Notamacropus eugenii: one gene and its partners. The protein of the gene in region 3 interacts with the protein of the main gene of each other region in a pairwise test. Links are inferred from orthologs where the notes say so. Each region holds a gene or a part of one and is shown on either strand. Other genes may lie near its edges.

Region 1 (7,077 bases), about 110 Mb from region 3:
ATGTTGCTATCTTCCATCCCAGTGAATTTATTGTTTTACTAATAACGCATGCCTAGGAAATAATAATTTAAAACTGCCAACTTGCAAGAAAAGCAACTTGGCCCAAGATGAGGAGGGTTGAGGTTAGGGGGTAGGAGGCAGGGACTATGAAAGATGAAGTAGTCTTACCACAATCTAAAGCAAGCCATTACTTTTCAGTAACGTGTCTCGGGGGATTTTTACAGTTGATATAATTCAGGCAAAACTTTAGTTTCAAGTTTCAAGTGAGAGAACATAAACTCAACTGCCTAAAAGAAATCTATCTACCTAGGAAGGTTAGCAGCTGAATCTTCCTGGCAACATTTTTGCAAAGAAAACACCAACTTTAGAAGTCGAGATGACTTCAAGAAACCTTGAATTTCCCAATAATAATTTTAAAAGGTAAATGAACTCAATCCCATTAAAAAAACATGCAGTGGCAAAGTATAAATAATCCTATAGCCTAAAAGAAAACCAGCTTCAGCACAGACTTAATGAGAAATAGTTGTAGTTTTAAACTAAGACCAAACCCCACATATTTGCACAATTATTTTTACAATAAACCTGGATCCCTTTTGGATGTTTCCCAATGTCTAATTAGTATGAATTCCATTGGACCAGACATGTTAAATCAGAAGTTCTTAAACTTTTTTGTATATGTCATGGACATCTTTGGCCATCTGGTTGAGACAAAGTATGGAGCCCTTCTCAGCATGTATTTAAACGCATAAGATGAAATACAGAGGAGTACATAGGAAATCAATCATACTTAAAACTGTTATTCAAAAATTCTACGTTCTTGGAAACAAGAGTAAAAATCTCAGGTCTAAAAGAAATCGTTAATGTTATAATGGGATAATATTTGTAAAGTGTTTAGTACAGTGCCTGGCACATAATATTTGCTTAATAAATGATTTGCTTCCTTTCCCTGTTTCCTTATGTGGGAACTTCACCCCAGTGATATATGGAATTCCCTGCTGAGAAAACACGTTAGACAATGCTGGTGGTGAGGAGAGGGGCAGAGAGGCTAAGTGACTTGCCCAGGATCACACAGGCTTGGAGACATGGCCATCCCATGTGCTCTAGATTATGAAACAACAAATTAACATTTTAGTCTAGATATGGAAACAGGAAACTGTAAGGTGCTGAAAGAAGTCAGTAACCAAAGCGAATGGACAGTAAGCAGATCTTCAACATGCTTTTATTTCAGGAATGTGAATACTTCCACCTTCTCACTTCAGGAGCTAAGAACTACATATCTAGTAATAACGTTATCATAATAACAACATTTTTATGGAACTTTAAGATTTGGAAAGCACTTTACAAACATCATTTCATTTGATGTTCATGAAATCCCTGGGAGGTAGGTGCTATTATTAGCCCCATTTTACAGATAAGGAGACTGAGGCAGAGGGTGGTTAAGTGACTTGCCCAGGGTCACACATTTAGAGCATGTCTGAGGCTATATTTGAACTCAGGTCTTCCTGTCTCAAGGTTCAAATGAAGGGAAGTAGTAATGTGTTCGTCATATGATGTCGAACAGAGGTGAACAAACATCTGTCTCCTCATATTTGAATGACTGAGTGAAGGAGCAGTGTGGCAACTGCGCCCATGAAAGTATCCACAAACTGTTTCCAAAAAGAGCCATGAGTCCTTCTTTGGGATCTGGAGGCTACCACAGTAGGGTTTTTTTTTTTCTGACTTTGAACACATAGCTTGAGTTTTCCTTCTGGCTCTGCCTCCAAGTCTCTGACCTCACTCAAATCACTGGACTCCCCTGGGAAATAAAAATAGAAACCTCCTCCAGTTATTGCAAACTGGACCAGTGACTTCACATGCCTTTGCAAATAGTCTGGCCAGTCCCTCTGGCAAGCAGCGACACAGTTACCAAGCTCGTCCACGACACTCATCCTGCCCCAACCGCGGGACATCTGCTACACCTCAGCTCCAGCTCCTAAGTTCCTTCAGTTACCTACCGAGAACTTCCCCCTCCTGATCAGTTCAAAGCTTCTAGACCCTTTCCTTTCCATTCCATTCCGGTACACAGGCCGGGATGGGGGGATGGGGGGCGGGGGGGGGGGGAGGGAGGGGCGGGAGGGATTGTCAGTCCATATCCTAGAGGCAAGTTCCCTCCCTTTGGCTGGCCTCCTTCAGATCCAGAACAGGGTGGTCCAACGCGGTGCGAACCTGTTGGCACTTCAGCTCGTACGAACTTCCTTTCGGAGCCGCACAACCAAAGAGCCTAAGGAAGGACCAAGTCCCGAACCACCTGAAGCTGCCCCCAAGTCCCGGAGGACGTGTGGGTGGTGTTTTCTTCTCCCCTTTAACTCGCCCAGAAGGATTGCCCTGGGAGGAGGGAAGATGCCTGCCTGCCTGCCCTCCTTAAACTGAGCCAGCGTGGGAGGAAGGACTCAACTTCTGCCCACTCGGGGACTTCCAGTCCTGGGTTCTAAGCACGTCTGAAACCAGAACATTAGGGACGGAGAGACCATCGAGGTATGCCCCGAGGTCTCCCAGATTTTTTTTTTTAAACGAACCCGACCCCAACACAGTCAGCTCCTGGTAAGCGAGGAGCCATCCAGGGAGAAGGTGCCGAGGAAAGAAAGGCGGCGGCGGGGCCCCGGGCTGGCCGCAGCCCGCCCCCTCCCCTCGGGCCAGGCTCCGATCCAGGACCAGTCTGAAGGTGGCCATCACACCCTCTGCCCCTCCCTGAACCCCCGTCCCCTGCCTCGAAACTCACCAAGACGAGCTCTCGGTCCTCCTCACCCCCCACCCACCGCAGTCTGGGTTCGAGGAGGCCCGCACTTACCAGCGCCTAGCGAGCCGAGCCGAGCCGTGCCGAGCCGGAGGTCTGAGCTCGCCGGGGCAGGCGAGGGGGCGGGTCTGAGAGGACCGGGGCGGGCAGCGCAGTTCGACAGGCTTCCGGCTTCTCCCCGCCTCCTGGCCCGGCTCCGGAGAGCTGCAGCCCCGTCCCGTCCTTTCCCGTCCCGTCCCGCCTAGTCTCGCTCTCCGCCCCCTTCCCTTCCCTGCCCAGCCCCTTCCTCTTGTGGCTAAAGGCTCCCTGGTCCTGCTCGTTAGCCGGTGGCTTCCCTCTGGCCGTCCTGTCCAGTTGCTGAAGAGCCCTTTAGCCTCTCCATCCTCTGATTCAGAAACTCTCGGAGTTGGAAGGAGCCTTAAAAATCGTCCAGTCCAGACCTTTTTTAGGTCATGGCCCCCTTTCCAGTCTGGTAAAGCCCTCCTCAGAATCAGAAATGCATGAAATCCATAGGATTACAAAAGAATCCAAAGGTTGGCGAAAATACAGATGTAATTTTTTTTGGCCACGTTCACTGTGCCTTAGAAATCTATCCGCGCCCCACCGCCTTAAGTCCACCGACTCCAGGTTAAGTACCTTTGATCTGGTCCAACTTTCTCATTTTACAGAGGAGGAAACTGAGGCCCAGAGAGAATTAGTCACGTTCCCAGGCTCACAGTTATTTTGGGACACAACTAGATACTAGGACTCGGGGTCACCTAACTCCCAATACATCAGATATCGCACTGCTCTTTTCTCCCTCAAATTTCCTCCCTTTTTGGTCCAGTTTTGCCTTCATTTCCTTCCCCAGTTACACTCTTCTCATCCCCTGTCTGCCCTTCCCAGATTTCAGTCTCCACCCGATTACTTCTTTCTCACACGCTTTGGTGTGGTCCTTCTACAGTCTAACTTCTCCCTGTTCGTTCTCTCAAGAGGAGCCAATGACCACTTCCCCCAGGGGAATTCACTGAGCTGATTATACGCAATCTTTCTTCTGTCCTCTTTGCCCTTTCTAGAATGACCTATTATCGTTGTTGTTCAGTGGTGTCCAACCCATCCCCAACCCCTTTGGGATTTTCTTGGCAGAGATACAGGAGTGGTTTGCCATTTCCTTCTTCAGCTTGTTTTTATAGATAAGGAAACTAAGACAGAGTTAAATGACTTGCCCAGGGTCACACAGTTAGTAAGTATCTGAAACAGGATTTGAACTCAGGTCCTCCTGACTCCAGGACGGGCACTCTATCCACTGGGACAGACCTAGCTGAACCAATGATTTATGTCTGCTCCCATTTTCCATGAATTCTGAGTCACAAATGTCAATGGAAAGCAGTAACTCAAAATCTTATCTCCACCACTAACTTTCTATGCAAAGTTCCTCCACAACTTCCTCCAATTTTCCTTTAATAAACATCAGAGAACTCCATTTTACAATTGGGGAAAGGGAAGCTAGTAGTTGTGAAATGACCTATCCAAGGTCACAGAATAAGTCAGTGACAAATCCTGGACTAGAACCCCAGTCTCATGACTCCCACTCCCAGAGTCCTTCCACCAAAATCACCATGACAACCCAACTCAGTGCAGCAAAACTAGAAGTTTTAAAAGGGGCTATATATCAGTCTGGCAAAGTTTGTGAAAAATTCATCAATAAATCTATGATCTCATCAGAATGGATTGCAACACAGCAAGTATGTTTTATCCTGTTATACTTCTCCATTTCTTTCCATAACACCTCCATAAAGAATCTACCCAACAATGCTTTTCCTCTGATGAGTTAAAAGGTGTGTGCTTATGTGTGTATGAATAAACATTGGACCTGCGATTTCATCAATATAGGGAATGTCTGGTCGTCATCTATGTGTATATATCTATATGGATAGGTACTATATCTATGATTTCATCGGTATAAGGAACTCCCAAGTGAGGAAACTCCCTCTACCAATGCAGATTGGTAACTTCTCTACAATTTATAGTCTTAGAAAATTGTCTAGACCTAAAGCACTGAGATTAAATGATTTGCCCATGGTCTCAAAGCTATACGTGTCAGAGGCAGAGCATGAACCTGGATCTTCTTCACTCCAACGCTGACCTTCTCTGCATTATACCCTGATGTCACTCATCTTCGTCTCTGTAAACTTTCAATAAGTACAGCACTTTAGCAATATATTATTACTTAGAACCAGACCATATGTTTCCTCCATGATAACTGGTTCACTGTCACCTTTCAACTGAAGGGCTCTTTGGCAGACAAAAAGAGACCATATCATTAAGCTATCCCTGAACAGAGTCCTGTACCAGTAAGTAAGAGACTTGGAGGTGGGGATAGGAAAGAAACCAAAATAGTAAAGCAAAAACCAAACTCGTTTGATTTTTTAATATGATGTAGTAAAAATATATCATATGCCTAATTTTCCATGTGTCTTAAAAATTCACTTTTTCTCACAGTTTTTCTTTATCTCCTTTCCCTTGATTCATTGAACATAACAGACATTTAACTCGAGTTTAAGCAATAATCTTTATTTTTTTCAAATGTTTAAAGTTACTAGTAGGACCTTGAGGTTACTTATTAGAATAGTTTTAAACTTATAATCTTCTTTCCTCTCTTAATTTATTTTCTTCCTTTCTTAATTTTCTTCTTTCTTTTTTCCTCTTTCCTTCCAACTTTCCCTCTTCCCTACATTTCTTCTCTCTTCCCTTCTCAATTCCTTCCTTGCTTTCTTAATTCTTTCTTCCTTCCTTTCTTTTTTGTAAAAATTCCGAGGTAAAAAACACCACTTGGATTTCCAACCAGCAGCTTCCCAGCAGGGCACAAAAAAATAATGCCACTTGTTTCATGTGCTACCCTGTTATAACCCTGCAGGAGGAAAAACATACTGACTAACTCCTAGTACACAGGAAACTGAACTCTTGCTACTGCCAAGTCTAGGGAGATTCCAGCTCTCAGTTGACTTCATAGGGGATTTGGAAGTGTATTTGCTATCCTTGGTTACATATGGTATCACATGAACCAGTCTTGAAAGTGGAGCCCTGATTTCAGCTAATTTTTTCTCCCCTCTGGGCGTACATAATCAGACTTGAGCACTATAAGTAGTTGCCAGAGCCAGCCTCTGTAAGTGAACTCTTCCTCTTCACCAAGGCAACTTAGTGGTGCATATATTTATCACTGAACAATGTTCTCTTTTTTCCAAGGCTTCTGAGATCATGCCCTGAAATGGAGATGCAATTGTTTGCCGAGAAAGACATACAAACAGAGCGCTTCTGTGCTAAGCCAGAGAGCCTTGCCTGCAAGCAGGCAATTACCTACAGCTAATTTAATTGTCTGAAGATGGTGACCCTCTGTAATCAGAACAGCAGCCCCTGCCTGGCGGGCAAAGTTAAATCTCGGGGACTTTTCCAGACTGCCTTCTGTGTTTTAGTCTTGTTTTTCATATAAAAGCATGAAAGAGCATCAGCTATGTGTATCCAGTTCTCACCATGGTTCCTGCCTTCACAAGAAGATAAACTGCTCACCCCAAAATAGGATTTAGCCTTTAGCTTGCTTCCCCAAACTTAGAATACCACTCTTCCTTTTAACAGCCAAAGGAGAAGTCATGAAAAATGAGACTGCAGAAAAAGACAACTTCCTTTGTTGTTGTCAGACTTCTCAGAAGAACTGTACACAGATGTCCCCCAGGCTTCCTGGGTCACACTTTCCAGTTCCAGAGATACACTAAGACCAAGGTAATTTGAGTTAGGAATTCAGAATTACCCTTCATGTCTGCAAACAGGTTTGCCACCATTACTTGGCTAATCTTAGCATGTCACTGTCTCCACACCCATCTCAGGGATAGATCTGACCCCAAAGATCACCCAATACTATTTGCTTGGTCTCCAAGCATGAGGTTCTAAGACTCTGAGTTCTGTTTCCATTCACTGGAATCCTTGACAGGTCTTTGACTCTCTCTGATCTCTGTACCTCTCTTTCCCACCTTGGTGTCCTCCCCTTGGTTCCTAGCAAGGACCAGTACTTTGCTAATCCTTCATCAATCAAAGGGACTTCCTTGTCTCTGTCTCCCAGGGCTTTTCTCAATCCCCATACTGCCTGCATGAATTGTTATGTTTCCTGGAATTTGAACCTGAACAATAATGTTTATCCATCAGCAAGCTATGTCCACAACACTTGGCACCAGCTGTTTCAATTATGATTTCCCAATCCTTGCCAAGAAGGAGACGGTCTTGGGGAGGGGCAAGGGGCAGAAAGGGAAAAGAGGGAAAGAGCATACTTGAGT
Region 2 (7,526 bases), on a different chromosome or scaffold from region 3:
ATTCGCTCACGCGCAGCCTAGCCTGCTGGATAGCCCCAAGAAGGGGAGGGGTGAGGAAGCCGGGGTGGGGGCGGTGTGTGCAAAGACACCCTCTCCTCTTAAGCTTCCGGTTTTGCACACCCAGGCCAGTGTGCCCAAGGGGTTTTGCCTACGTTTGGCTCAGACATCTTTAGGGGTGGGTGTTACTGGCTTTGGTAATCGGAACAAAGCCAAAAAAAAAAAATAGGGTGGGGGTCATAAAATATAATAATGCAACGCAAAACGCAATGCAAAGGGTCCCCAAAGGGAAGGTGTGTATGCACACAGACGTGCATGAAGTCCTAATGTGATTAAGACGTAATACTTACTAAGCATGATTTGTCCCCCACCCCCAGTGATTTGCTCTCTCCGGTCCTGGCTAGCCCTCCTCTTGGGTCATGGCAAGGTAACGCGCTTTGTTATCGCATGGCTAGGTGGGTGGGAAACACCCTTCCTTTTAAACAAAATTGACACTCTTTTAGACCTTCCTCCACGCCTCTGCAGAGGCAAAGATTTCCCCCCCAAACCTGCCTAGTCCGGTTATTTCCAGTTAAAAACGGGAGGGTCCAAGACAATCCCGGTATCCTCAAGGCCATGGGGGGGGAGGAGACAGAGAAATTAGCATTTTCATTCCACGAAAGGCCAATTAGTATCCTGCGGGGGCCTCCAACAAGGGTCTGGGGGGGGGGTTAATGCAGGGAGTTAGAAGGGCAACGGAGCATAGCGGGGTCCCAAAAGCACTGCGTGGGGCTGCCCAGGGACAAGGATGGGGACCGCAGACAGGCCGACTGACGGGCTGCCCAGGAGGAACCTTTACCGGCGCGCGCCGGAATCCAGGAACTGGAATCCTCAAGCCTCGCCCCCTCCCTCCCTGAATTCCCTCTCCCCACCGGGACAGGCACCCAATCCAATCAGCAGCTGGCATCGCCTTAGCAACAGGCTAACAAACCAAACTCCGCCTATCGCTGCCGGCACGGGGCGTGGCCTCGGTTACCAGGCTAGTTTGAGAGGTCCCTGGTCTAAGTCATTGAAACTATTCCAGGTTAACGTCGGTCCGCGTTTGGTCGGACTGGGGGTGGTGAGTGGGTGGGGGTGGGTGATAACAGGTTCTTGTTAATGAAATATGGCAGACACAAATTAAAGTGTATTCTGCGCTCTCATTTTTTCCCATCATTCTTCCCTACCCCCAGCCATTGCGAGTCTCTCTTAACTACGTCTTTTATATCTACTCAACAATTTACCTACCCCCTTCCCCCCGCCAAAAAAAAAAATGGATAATTTAGGTGATTAGTTGCAAACTCCGGTGGCTACTTTTAAATAAGCACCAGGAATGTGATTAGGCATTTGCTCTTTATAGGGTGGTTCGATGTTTGAGGGCCTTAACAATGAAAGTCTGCACATCATGGGCAGATAGTTTTAAAATGTTTTATTCTATGGAAACGTCATTTTCCCCGTAACACCCTGACATGCTGCATCGTACATGGAAGTGAGATTATCTTTCATTTATGCCTACATTTGACTGAGGCTTGAGATGGCATCATTTAGGTAGGAATATAAATTGCTTAAAAAGAGGGGAAAATAGGCAAAATATCTCAAATTCTTAGTTTTATCTGCAAAATCGTCAACGTCTGAACTAAATACTGCATTAAAAAGGAGAAGGACCAAGAATTACATAACCAGTTTTAACATTATAGTCTGGTGCTAGGAATTAAGTCATCGCCACCACCTGACGCGTGTAACCAATCTGCTGAGAGCAGAACAGGCGCCCCTCCTCACCCCCCCAGTACTGGTCCGAAACAGGATTGAACCGCTTCTAACAAAGGGTGGAAACTTAGAAAAACAAGCTTAGAGTCTGCTATATTTCCACAATGTATCCATTCAAACAATAGATTAGCAATCTCAGGACCCCTTCCCCCTTTGACAGTCTTTATCTTCCTTTTTTAACCAAAATCAGACCTAGCGTGAGAAGTCCTTTACATTTCCTTTTGACTGGCACCGGTTTCATTCAATGTATGTTCCAAAGTTAGAAATGATGCTCTTAAAAGAAAAGAATTGACCCTAAATGGCCTCTTGGTCAAATTTTAAAGCTACCATGATGATAGTCTTTTTTTTTTTCATTTTTTCTAAGAAAAGATAAAAAGGTAGCTTGATGTGAATTTGGAATTGAATAGGAAAGAAAAAAATAACACGTGGGGTGTTTGATAGCATATGTCAAAATAAGCTACGGGAAGCCCTTTTTCAAGGAACAATGATTAATTCTGAAATTATTGCATGTCGATGTTAAAATCTAAAATGCACCTCTAAGCGTTCATTAGAAGATGCTACTCCATGCTTTTATTGCAACTCATTTTGTAGAGCCAAGGTTGCAAAGTAAAAAAAAAAAAAACCCCACAAAAAACCAGTTGAGATTCGACTCCAGTTTCTAGCAATGCGTTTGGAAACCATATTATTAAAATGCTGAAATCTGATGGAAGGAGCTATTAGAAATAAGGTACACATGAATTGCAAGTGCGTATTGCAAGAGGCTTATAGAGATGTTAGAGGTAGTTAGCAAAGTGTTCTTATACAGTCACTTTGCAGATGGCTCGAATGCATTGCTGCTTAACACTCGATAGATGTCAAAAAAAATTCAGATTTTCAAGTCTGCAAAAAAGATTCTCTACAACAAACGTTCAGATTTCAAACTGAAAAGCCAAGAGTTAAATTGCACCAATTCATAGAAAATAAGAGGCAAGTTAAAGAAAATCATATTCCTTTATGACTTCTGAATAATCAAAAAAACTTACCTCTTTCATGCCCAATTAAGATGTCTTTATGGTTGAAATATTCTACTTCTTCAGTGTAATTCTGTGTATAGGCAGTGTTGGATCCAGCATTTCTAGATTCGGTCCAGCGTACTTTCGCATGTCCTCTTGCATGAATTTTTAGAGATTTTACTCTGATTTCCCCAGTAACTTCTAAATTCACTCTTCCTGAGACTGTATCCCCACTAGAATATACAGGGACGTTACTGTCATTAAGACAGTCAAAGCTTATTGTCAAACTCTTAACCTTCCCCAGCACCATGATTATAACAAAATCTATAAAAAAATATAATGTAAGACCAAAAAAAGGTCAAGATCACATATAAAATGCGATCTTCACTAAACACTGATCGATGTCTTTGCCGTGCAAAAGGCTTGCAGGCAGGATCAGTGCCTTCTTTACAAATAGTTCATTGAGGTTTCTTAAAAAGTCACAGCACTGGATGCTGCTGCTTCTCAGATCAGTGGTCTCTGTACAAAGACGGGTGGCTACAGCTTGCCAGCTCACTTTAAAACCAGCTTTGTGAAAAACAACCCCACAGAGCATGCGCACGGCTCTGCTGCTGCCTTTTTCCTCCCCCCTCCCTCGCGTCCCTCTTCCTTTCTGGTACAGTAGGTGTAGAACAGAGGGAAGAAGACTGCTGTAGACGGAGAGCTGAACCTGACTTCTCTTCATTGAGTGTTCCTATTGGTGCGCAGGCTACCGTAAAACTCCAGAAGTGGGATGGGAGGCTTTACTACCGAGCAGATTCGAATAGCCGTGATAGAGCCGTAATGGCAGAGCAGGGGACACGAGGGGACGCAGGCGGAAGGAGGCCAGGGTGGCTGCTGCTGCTGAACCGCTCGCCCAGGGCGTGCACGGAGGGCAGGGCTGACCTGTGCCCACCGGGCACTGCTGGAGAAAGAGGAGAGGGGGAGGGGGAAGGGAGAAACCTGTTGGACGGGCCGGTATAACGTGATCTGATGAATTTCAAGAGAAATTGCAATAAAAAAATGACAACAAACCCAGGCTTTAAATATGTGGTTAACAGACAAATTCAGGGAGGATGGATTGGACACTTTGTATTTGTTGCTGTTCGAGGTAGGGTGAAATTGACTCCATGGAGGTCAAAGGAATCCTGCCTTTCCTTTGAGAATCTTGCCATGGACGAGGAGAGAGGCCAGTTGAATTTAAGCAGAGCTGTGTGCCCTCTCCATCTCTAACCTCCATTGCCATGAAAAACAACCAACGACCAAATAATTAGGGCTGACCACTTCCTTAAAAGAAAGAGTCCTGTTTAAAGGAACCACCTACAAATCGTATTTTAAGGGTTTGACAAGAAGTGCTGAGAGGACTTCAAGAATTGTCTGGTTTAAATAAGAAATGAAACCTTAGAAAACACAAGACCAAGTGTTTACTTAGACATTCTGTTTACAAAAAGAACAAAACACTGTAGGGAGAAATAGTGTGGATGATTTTTTTTTAAATCCTAATTCTGGATTAAATGATATTAAACATAGTTTATTTTAAAAAGCACCAGTGTGGCTTTGGAAACCTTGAATTATTCAGCAAGAATATTAATTCTGGATGTACATCTTCAAGATACACATTCCCATTTTTTTTTCTGTTTAGAAACAGTTGAGCTATGAAGACTTTCCTTCATAATATAAAATTCCTGATTTCCTGATCTCAGACTGAAACAATTTTGCTTTAAAAAAAAAGTCTTCAAAACTAAAGCTTGACTCTAATGAAGTCTAAGAAAGGAGTAAGCTACTGAGGATATTTACTAAATTTGCAGGTAAGTTTAATGGTAAAATAATATTTTAAAACTTAAAATTTTAATCTTCCCTCCCTTTTTCTTATTTTCTGCATTTAGCAAAAAAATGACCAAAATAATAGTACACTTTGGTCATCTTTTCTACATTGTCATTTCTGTTTTAGATTTTTTTAGTGGAATAAATTGAGTAGATATGTCACGATGAAGTGTTAGTTTTGCTGACTACTTTGTGAAATATATAAATAACCTATGACTGAGGATAGCTTACTTATTTCTTGTCACTGCATCTTGTCTATGGATATATTAGTATTTTGCTGAAGTATGAACTCTTTAAAGGCCAGAGACTCAGACTTATAATGATGTGGAGAGCACTGCTTTTGGGGGAAAAGGACCAGAGTTCAAATTCTAGTTTCTTACTTTGTGACTTTTGGGCCAGTCTTTTAAGTGCTATGAACTTCAGATTTCTGGTCTGCAAAATGAGGGAATAAGTAACCTTCAAATTCCCATCCAGCTAGAGATCTTTGTTTATGAATTTATTGTTCATGAGACTAAGTATCTCCTCTGACCTAGGATAGGATACAATGCATTAATGTAGAAAATTACATGATATGGTGGAGCCAGTGTACTAGACAAAGTCAACACCTAGGTCAGACCCCAGGGTTCTATCCTTATTAACTGTGTGACCATGTGTAAGTCACTGAACTTGTGAGCCTGTAAAATGAGGCTGAAATAGCTATATTTTCTGCTTCACTAGATTTTTGTGGACAGTGTTTCATGAATTTCGAAATTTACAAACTTTAATAAACTTTGAAAGTCTTAATAAGTATTTTTTGAATTGTTCTTAATTTGGACGGTTGTGTTCAGCATAATGGGTCTGTCTTTCATAGGGGAAAAAAGTATATCTTCTCTTGGTTGACACCTGGTGGAAATTCTATGGGTCTTATCAAATCCTTTGAAGGGCTAGCCTAGTCTTGGAGTACAGATAAGACTTGTGTTTCTCCGCCACCTAGTGGTAAAGCTGTTGAACTTGCCAAAATGCCTACTTCAGCTTCTTCAGTATTAAATGCTATTTAGTTCAGTAATGACAGAAAGAATTACTGTACACTATGAGAAAGGTTGCAGTGCTAGTTGGCGTTTTCCATGATTAAATACAGTTTATCAGTGGCTGGATGTTTCAGAACTTGGAGAGAAATTTCTCCTGTGAAAATACAGATATTTCTGAAAACCATGCTTTACAAGGCCATGGTTAAAAACAGTAGGTACAGTTTATAATTTATTCTTGGTTTTATACAATTCCTAATATTTGGGCCTTTTGGATTCAATAAATTGCCAGTATTTCTTTTTAAATCAAGTCGGGTAAAGGTGTGTTAATTTTGTTATCCTTTTCAAAGAACAGTCTTAGTTTTGTTTAGTGGCTCTACAGTATTTTCGGTTCCCAATTTATTTCTTCTCTATTTTAAAAATGTTTTTTATTCTGGACTTATTTAGAGTTTGTTTATCTGTTGGGTTTGCTCTTATCTAGTTGTTTGTCTTTTGAGTTTTTGTTTATAAAAATCCTTTTAGTAATGCTAAAGAAATACTAAGTTAGTGTTTATTGCTTCTCCACTAACACTTTAACTCCTGAAAAATGTAATATGCTTTCTTAGTACTTTATACTTTCTTTTTATTCAGAGTACTTTTCTCTTGTATGTTTTTCAGATAAGAGATCTTACATGAATTTTAGGTTCATTTTTGCTTCTCTGTTTCCTTTTGTTTCAGGGTCTAAAACTATAAAATCCTGATTCTTCGTTCAGTATCTCTTAAAATCTGTGTCTGCTTTTCTCTATTTCTTGTGAAAAAAAAAATATTTGTCCAAAATTTGAATGTCTTCTCTCATGATTATGGCATTTTTTTCCCTTTCAGGATTTCTTGTCCAAATTATCCACCATTGAGTCAGTTTAAAATACCACAGTCGGAATAACCTTCCTTTCTTCCTGTGTTATAACCATGTTGTTATCCTTCTCAAATAGCTTTTCTTGGTCCTTTTTGTTTTTTGCATAAGTTTAAGTTATTCCTACTCACCACCAAGGCTTTTCCCCTACTACACCCCAACTTTAAACTCCTATGTCATCTCCTCCTACTCATCTGCTAACTCTCTGTACTCCTGTCAGGCCCATCTTTCTGCCCTCTTTGTTCACTTGTCCCCCTGTTGCCTCTGTGCATAGTTCCATGCTGCTTCCTATCCTCCGAACAACCTCCCACTGCTGCAAGTTACCTCCTTTCTCTTCTGAAAATCCCTACTCTAGACTCATTTCTGGCCAGCAAGTTGAAAAAGAAGTAGAGGTTCCAGTGAGATAATATTAAAACTCTTAACACAGTGCCTGGCACATAGCAGGCACTACCAAGAGGTGTATCCCTTCCCCCCAGTCTAGTTTGCAAACCTGTCCACTGGTCCATTTAGACGAAATAATTATTTTTTCCTTTTTTCTGCTTATTCAGAAGAGTCTGAACGATAAACAAAGCTTATTAAATTTTAAGCATCTTGGTGGAAATGGTTTTTCTAATCAAAACTAAAATATTTGTGAAATATTTATGAAATTATTAATAAAAGAACAGTGAATGGAGGGGCTCTTAATTTCTGTTCCCCTGAAGTTTTCTTCCAGTGGGTCACACAGTAGAGAGAGCACTGCCTCTGAAGTCAGGAGAATCTGAGTTCAAATCTGGCCTCAGACACTAGCTGTATGACCATTGGCAGATCATTTATTCCTGTTTGCCTCAGTTTCCTCATCTGTAAAATGAGTTGGAGAAGGAAATGGCAAATCAGGCCAATGTCTTTACCAAGAAAACCCCAACTGAGGTCACAGAGAGTCGGATACGCTTGAAATGACTAAACAGCTACTGCTAGCTGAAATTGACGTAATGCTTTACAATTTTTATTTAATTTGATTCTTACAACAACCCTGGGAGG
Region 3 (7,470 bases):
AGCCTACATGATGTATTGGGCAGACATTTCTTGCACATAGCCTTCTGGACTTGTTAGACCAGTTTCATGTTTACAACAAAATGCCAGACTATCTACGCCATTCAACACATGCAGTAAATGTTCAAACTTGATAGTTTATTAATAACTGCCTTGAGTTTTCCTGATCTCTACAGGTTTCCCATAAGCTGCTTGTCTATACAGAAATGGCATGGCAAAATAAATGTTCTATAACTACCTGATATCTTCTAAGCTGATTTAAAATGCCAACCCAGCTACAATACAAAATCTCCGTAAGATGATTTCTACCCCACCCAAGTGGTTGCACATTCAAAAATTCATGTATACAATTATGTCGGATGTTAATTATAGAAAATTAGTCAGCTGTGCTAATTTTTAGAAATGAGTACACAATTAATTATTTGTGAATTTAGTGTCTGTGGATAAGGGAGCTTCCTCAATGTTCTAAGATTATGGGATCATAGCATCGGAATCTTGATACTAGAGGGGATAATCTGAGGCCATCTGTAGTTCGAGAAACTGAGACCCAAGGCTTGGTAGGTAGACTCATGTGGGAAAAAGCAATAAAATTTTTCTTAAAATACTAGTTATACTTCCCTAAATTCTTTTTTTTCATACTTGAGTGCCTTCTATTAATTCAAATTATTGCTTTATTGACCTTCTGGCTATGACTTTAGTATTTATTATGAAGTGTTGACTATTCCTTCTTCAATTACATTCTTTAAATGTTGGAAATAAGAGTTGGTTTTATTTTTTTCTTAGGGTATTTAGCTTTAATTGTAATATAAAAGTAAAGGTACAAAAAAGCCCATTACTAACAATACTAAAATGATATCTCTCCTGTAAATCCAGGAGCCTAGCTTAGGAGCAAAAGTACTCTGGCAAGAGCTAGGCCTGAAAAGCCGCAAATGTGCTGCTGGCCTAATGCTGAGACAAGGAGAGTCACCTTCACAGCTAGCTGGACTCTGCTTTTTGCTGCTGCATGAGTGGGCAACAGAAAAACACTGCTTGCCTTCCCTGCCCACCATTTTTAGGGGACAGCTGGGAAGTTTCCACTCATTTCAGAAGAAGAGTCAGGAACCTTCCTTGGCAGCTAAAGAAGCCAGGCTTTGGAGGCCCTGAGCCAAATGTTGTGGCTCCATAGAGTCCACCCAAACTTCTTTCAACATAGGCCTTAGCAACCTCTGACTTTCTCTTCTAGCTTTTCCACTATGCTCAGAAAGCTCCAGAGACCTGCCGAGGCATGGCCCTGACACAAAGATAGAATTTTTTGAATCACTGCTTCTTGGTGTTCCACCCCAAGCTAGAGACAGTTTTACTAAAGATATTTTCATTAAGAATGGAAATTTTAAAACTAAACAATACAAGCACCACAAAATATCAAGAGACTAGATTGTTCCTTAAAATGAAAGTTACCGTGTCCTTTTATCTTGTCAACTGATAGCAAAAATGGCAACTCAATGTAACATTTTTCTGGACCAAATGTAACTCAGAAATCATATAACAGGGATCAGGAGATCTGAACAGGAAGAATTCTTATCAATCATCCAGTCCAACTTTCTTAGATGGGGAAACTGAGGCACACAGAACTTGAGTGCTTTGCCCAAGGTCACCCACATAAGGGGTAAAGCCTAGAATTCAAATCTAGGTCCTCTAAATCTGGAACCTCTAGGTTTTCCTCTACATCTGACTGCCTCTCTCACAAGCATCTCTATCTATGGACTTATTTAGAATAGAAATGCCTCTCTCCTGTGAACATACATTCAAACTAGGCAGGAGACAAAACTTCCCAGGCAACTTGCAAAAGGAGCAAAAGAAGACAGCCAACCCTACTCAATTGTTGTGTCTGTGTGCCTTTTGCGCTGTACGTAGTCCGCTGTTAAACCTGTGGACACAGCTGAAGAATAAATCAGTTTCCCTTGTGTCTCTGCTGCTCGGGTGGACTTAACCAACTTTAAATAAACATTACAGGGCTAAAGTATCAAATGATTTAGCGCACTAAGAAGAGCTGCAGTGCGTCAGAGACAAAAGGCAGCTCCTGCTTTCTACTTGGGGGGTGGGGTAGGGTGGGGAGACAAGGGGCTTGCCAATGAATGCCCTTTCCACCTCCTGCCCTTCCCTGGCCAGTCCCCGTGCCCGATCTCCCTGCCTCTCCCCGCCCCCCCTGCAGTGACCTGGCTAATCTGTCTCGGTCTCCAGGCCCGATCTCTCTACCACTTGCCTAGCCGCCCATGTCTTGTCCAGAACTCTCTACGGTCCTTCCCCCACGTCTCCTTCCTCTCCGCACTGCCACGCCGCTGGACAGAGTAACCTGTACATCAGCAGGGCGCGCGCGCGCACACGCAGACACATTCCCGGACCACCACCACCACCCGGCCTATCTCGATCCCCGCCCTACGGCTCTTCCTTCTGCTCCCAACTTTCCCTGCCCCGTGCTACACTCTCCCCGAAACAAACCAAAAGCGGAAGAGAAGGGAGGTCTATGTACTCCTTACTCCTTGTCCTATCCCCAAAGACGTCCCTCCCCAGTCCTTTCAGCTTTCTCCTCCGAAGCCCCCAACCCTCCAATGGTGGCTACCCCGCGGTGAAGAGTAAGCAAAGCCAGAGGTCGTGGGGGAGGAAGGACCACTCACTTTGTGCCCCTCGGGCGTGACGCGCGGGTCGTTCCATGTAGTGGTCCGGTTGTTGTGATCCACGAAGAATGGCCAACCCGTCTGTGGGTCGATTTTAATTTCCCAGCCTGGTGGCAAGGGGTCTCGCTCCCCGCCATTGCCGCTGTTGCTGGTCGCCATCTGAACCATTGGGGAGTGAGTGGCCGCGCTCATGCTCTGCCGAAGGAGCGACTTCTGCTACCGTAGCGGTGACTTCTGCTGCTGCTGTGTCTAGAGCTGTGGCTGCCGCTGCTGCTTGCTGGCGAGGCTGCTACTAGCTGGGGCCGGGGCTGGGGCTCGGCTGGGGCGGGGAGAGCGAGTTGAACTGGGTTGGGCTAGACAGGGCGGAGGCGGGGGGAGGGTGAAGTTAAAGAGGAGGCGAAGGAGGCTGGCTACAAGGGTGTCCTTAAGTCCGCCTCCGAGCACCTTTATGAATTAATGGTGGAGTGACGTGAGAGGAAAGAGCTGGAAGTATCTGGAAATAGTCCTCCCGGGGCAGAGGCACGGAGGAGATAACGAAGAGAGCGAGGAGGAAGCAACTGGCTCAGTAGAAACTTCTGGTTCCATCCAGCAGACTTGGCTGTGCCCCTTTTCCAGGATGCAGAGCTCCGCCCTGAGTCATCGGCTATTATTGTGGCCCTTAGTCTTTCCACCTAGGCCTCCGGTTCGGGGCTGCTTTAGCCTGCCTTTACTTTACTCGACTGCAGTTGGCTCCCGTTTGTAAGTTGAAAGGGAGAAGAGCTGGATAACTGAAGAAAATTTGGCCTTTTCAGTAGCAACCCACCCCTTCCGACTGCCGGTCGAAAAAGAAATCTGATTGGGAATGTGGGCCTATTGACTCTTTTTAAAAAGAGAAAATGGCAAGGGATTGCCCAAAATGATGGCATTTGGACTGGATGTTTGTAGAACTGAAGCGTTCCCAGTAACTAATTCGTGTGCTAGCTAGCTAATAAGGTTTCATTTTTCCCTTTCCATTCTTTATGGCTATTTCATAGCAGGTTAAGATTAAGAGAAAACACATGCAGATGTCCTGGTTCCTACCTTGTGTTTTTGAATCTCATCCTTAGTATTTTTGAGTTTTCTGGGGGTAAGAAATGTTAAATATGCTACATGGAGTAGTTCTGCTTGAGTTCTATATCCCAAAGAGTCGTGGAAAATCGGATCTAACATTATTTCCCCCAAAGAGAAGGCGTTTTGTAGGTCTGAAGCCTGTGCATTCCCAAGAAGAAAAAATAACTTCCATCAATTCAAAGCTTTTCCCCTACTTTTCTCACCCAAGTCAGTTACCCCTTCCTGTTCTGTTTTTACATTACAGGTTTTTCAGGACATGTCCTTCAACCACCATTCCCCATTCACCCCAATCTTTGTGCCAAAGAACAATTAAGCAAAATTAATCAACACACCAAATCACCCAGGACAATAACAGAATGTTCCATACTATAGGCCCTTACTTCTCCAAGGATCTGAGGGAGAATTTCCTCATTTCTTCTCTGGACCAAGACTGTTCAATATTAAATACAAAGCACTGAACTTCATTTTTCAATGAACCATTTTAAAGAGGAAAAATTATCTTTATTTTTTAAGAGTTGATTGCCATTAAACAAAATATATGTTGAATTAAAGTACAAAAGCAGAAATATCAATCTTGATGTGCATCTGTGAAGAAGGAAACAAGGTCAACTAATCTTTTCATTAACTCCCAGATGGGAAGCCTTTGCACTTCAGTAATTCTACGAAAATTTTATGTCCAGACTGGGAAAAGGGTTGAAATGGTTGTTACCTAGAATTTCAAATTCTGTCAGTTCATTCTTCCCCTTGAATCATCTAAATGGTTTGTGTAATAATATTGAGTCTAATTCTCCACCCTACAGATTAGAGGCTGAGATATCAGAATCATATAAATTCAAAGAAGAATGCCCTACATGGTTTTACAATGCAGGAAACAATGTTGTACTGACTACCAGTGGAGGGTGACTATCAGTGGTCACTCTGATCCCATATCCCCAGTTCTTCTGGACATATTGAAAATGGTCTGTGGCAAGTCTTCCAGTCACACAATGTTGCCTAACACTTTTACAATACAGGAGCACCACAGCAGCTGGCTCTCAAGGAAATTATGTATTTAGTTCATAAAACTGTCAATACAATGTAAATGTTTAACTTACATATTTAATTTATGTGCTTGACATCTGTCCACAGGCTATCATGGATTATAAATTCTAACAGAACAGGCACTGCTTCTCTCTTATTCTATTTAGTATGAATACAGGACATCTAATTCTATCCAGCCTAATTTTATTCTGACCCTAGCTATTCATCCCTAAAATATGATTATACTTGATCTATATATGATATAAACATCTGATTGATATAACATCTCTATTTTCTTGTCACTAGATCATCAATTCAGAGCTCAGAAGAACCTTAGTCTAATGCCCTCATTTTACCAGATGAGGAAACTGAGACCAAGAAAGGGTAAACTGATTTACTTAAGGTCACACAGGTATTAAGTGGCAGAGAAAGATGTCCTCCTACATCTATTTCACCTTAAATTGTGAGGTCATAAGAGGCTATGTAGGTATAAGATCCATAATTCTTATGACAATGCCTCACATAGTACCAACTGGATTTTTGATAAATGCATTCAGTTGAAGATGATTTTCAATTCTCTTTGCACAGCTAACAGCACAATGTGATAGGAACATATTTACCTCACGTAAGCATACAGTCAAGTCAACTGTGTCCCAAGAATAGTCAAGAAACATTTCATGTTAAAAATAATCAATCAAGTAAATTTTTATTGAAATTATTATGCGCAGGAAGTTGTCAGCTAGGATAGGGAACCTGCAGCCTAGAGGCCACATGTGACCTTCTAGGTCCTTGGATGCAGCCTTTTGACTGAGTCTAAGTTTTACAGAACAAATTCTTTTATTAAAAGGATTTGTTCTGTGAAGTTTGGATTTAATCAAAGGGCTGCACTTGAGGACCTAGAAGATCATATGTGGTGGCTTTGAGGCTGAAGGTTCCCCACCCCTGTAGGCACTTGGGCTGGGGGCGAAGGCATACAAATAAGTATAGGACATTGTCTTTTCTCTCAAGGGATTTATAATTTCAAGGAAGATAGAATAGTGGGAAAGAACATCATTTTAGGAGTCAGGAAACCCGGATTATATAGCCCCAGTTCTATCTCTGTTAGTTCCAGTTGTATAATCTACCATTAGCTGGGATAACTCCAACTCTACTACCCACCAGCTGTAACTCTGAGCAAGTGACTTCACTTTTGTGGGTCTCATATTTTCTTATCTGTAAAATGAAGGCACTAAAATATGACTTCTGAGGTGCCTTCTAGCTCTAAAATTCTCTGTTTTTTCTTGTTAGGAGGAAGTATATAAATTAAGGTCCATGATCATGCACAAAAGGCCTATGATCTAGTTGCAGAGATAAGGCATAAAAATAAAAAGTTACATAATTTTTTTCCCCTACCTTTGATTTCATCAAGGTATCTAGTTTCCATTTGATATAGATCAGCTTCTTATCATCTTAGAGAGTTATCTTGGGACTTGAGAGGTTGTTACTTGCCCATGATTATACAGCGGTTAATACAGGTAATGTCAGAAGCTGAACTTGAACCCAGGTCTTCTTGACCCCAAGGCTAGCCCTCTATCCTTTTGTCTCATTGCCCCTCTAGACACCAAAACAGGTCTTAAATAACAGCACTATACCAAAACACAAGAAATGTCATAAAGGATATGACTTGTTAATTGCTGAATCACTGTTGAGGTCAAAGGAAAGTGATGTCATTATGAGACTGAATGGTCTAGGAAGACTTAAGAGGAGAAGGGACTTGAGAAGGGCCTTTTTATAGGCTGGGTTCATTTTGCCTCTTTGCAAGTCAAATTCAAAATGCATTTTAAATTCTTATATGTCTTTCTTTGCCAAATACAGTTCATATTGTAACTAGTTTTATTTTGTGTTGGGTGTCTGGACCTGTGATTTCATCAGCATAAGGAACTCTCAGTATGAAAACTCCTCCAAAAATGCATATCTACCACTTGTCGGCAACACACAGTCTTAGGGAGTTTCCTGGGGCACTGAGGTAAGAAGGGACTTGCCCATGATCCCCACATCTAGTATGTGTTAGAGGCAGGTCTATAATTCAGATCTTCTCTGCTCCCAACACTATCTAGTATATCTTGTGCCTCTCAACTTTTTAGTAGTTTTTGTAACTAATAAATAAATATGTTGGTTGAAGTCTGTAAAATTGTTATGATTTAACCCTTATAGGCATTGTTTTTTATAGGCCCTTGCAGACACTCTTTGTTAGAGCTGAGCTCTGGAGATTTCAAGCCATCCCAGTTATACAGCACAGAGGACTGTGGATTCAAATTGGTGTTTGAAGCCAAGGGCACCGAGGCTCCCAAGCCTTCTTCAATTAAGTAGCCCTAAGCCATGATGATTAAGTGTGGCCTCTGGTGGTGTTATTATGGATAACCTTTATAGGGCTGCTAAGATAAAGCAACCTTTGTCCCAGGCAACTATGACTTAAAGCCTAAACAAGGGCAATAGTTGCCCACTAAGAAAAAGAATGAAAGGACCCACTCAATTCCTAATGGCAGCACTCCTCAGAGCTCTGGACAGTTGAGGTCTTGGCTCAGGCACAGACTTCTCCATCAATCTTTATCCCTGTTCTTGGGTCTGAATGATAGACATACTTACTCTGCAGTACTTCAAAGCAAGGTGGTTTTGTGGGTGTGAGTCCTGCCTCCATCACCACCAATCACAACTCCTCTATTCCCTTGTA

What was found.
Region 1: the proteins of BAG3 (region 3) and LITAF interact in binary tests that used the Homo sapiens proteins (3 or more experiments, as listed by UniProt). The two-hybrid records come from large-scale screens. The link is inferred for Notamacropus eugenii from reciprocal best matches to the Homo sapiens genes BAG3 and LITAF.
Region 2: the proteins of BAG3 (region 3) and ARRDC3 interact in binary tests that used the Homo sapiens proteins (3 or more experiments, as listed by UniProt). The two-hybrid records come from large-scale screens. The link is inferred for Notamacropus eugenii from reciprocal best matches to the Homo sapiens genes BAG3 and ARRDC3.

Annotation. Positions count from the first base shown.
Region 1 is NC_092872.1:91,387,484-91,394,560, forward strand, and holds the start of LITAF (lipopolysaccharide-induced tumor necrosis factor-alpha factor), read right to left. Parts: upstream 3,023-7,077; 5' UTR 2,828-3,022; intron 1-2,827.
Region 2 is NC_092875.1:449,013,537-449,021,062, reverse strand, and holds the start of ARRDC3 (arrestin domain-containing protein 3), read right to left. Parts: upstream 3,092-7,526; 5' UTR 3,085-3,091; coding exon 2,805-3,084; intron 1-2,804. UniProt on the Homo sapiens protein: Adapter protein that plays a role in regulating cell-surface expression of adrenergic receptors and probably also other G protein-coupled receptors.
Region 3 is NC_092872.1:199,785,823-199,793,292, reverse strand, and holds the start of BAG3 (BAG family molecular chaperone regulator 3), read right to left. Parts: upstream 3,239-7,470; 5' UTR 2,844-3,238; coding exon 2,652-2,843; intron 1-2,651. UniProt on the Homo sapiens protein: Co-chaperone and adapter protein that connects different classes of molecular chaperones including heat shock proteins 70 (HSP70s), e.g. HSPA1A/HSP70 or HSPA8/HSC70, and small heat shock proteins (sHSPs), e.g. HSPB8.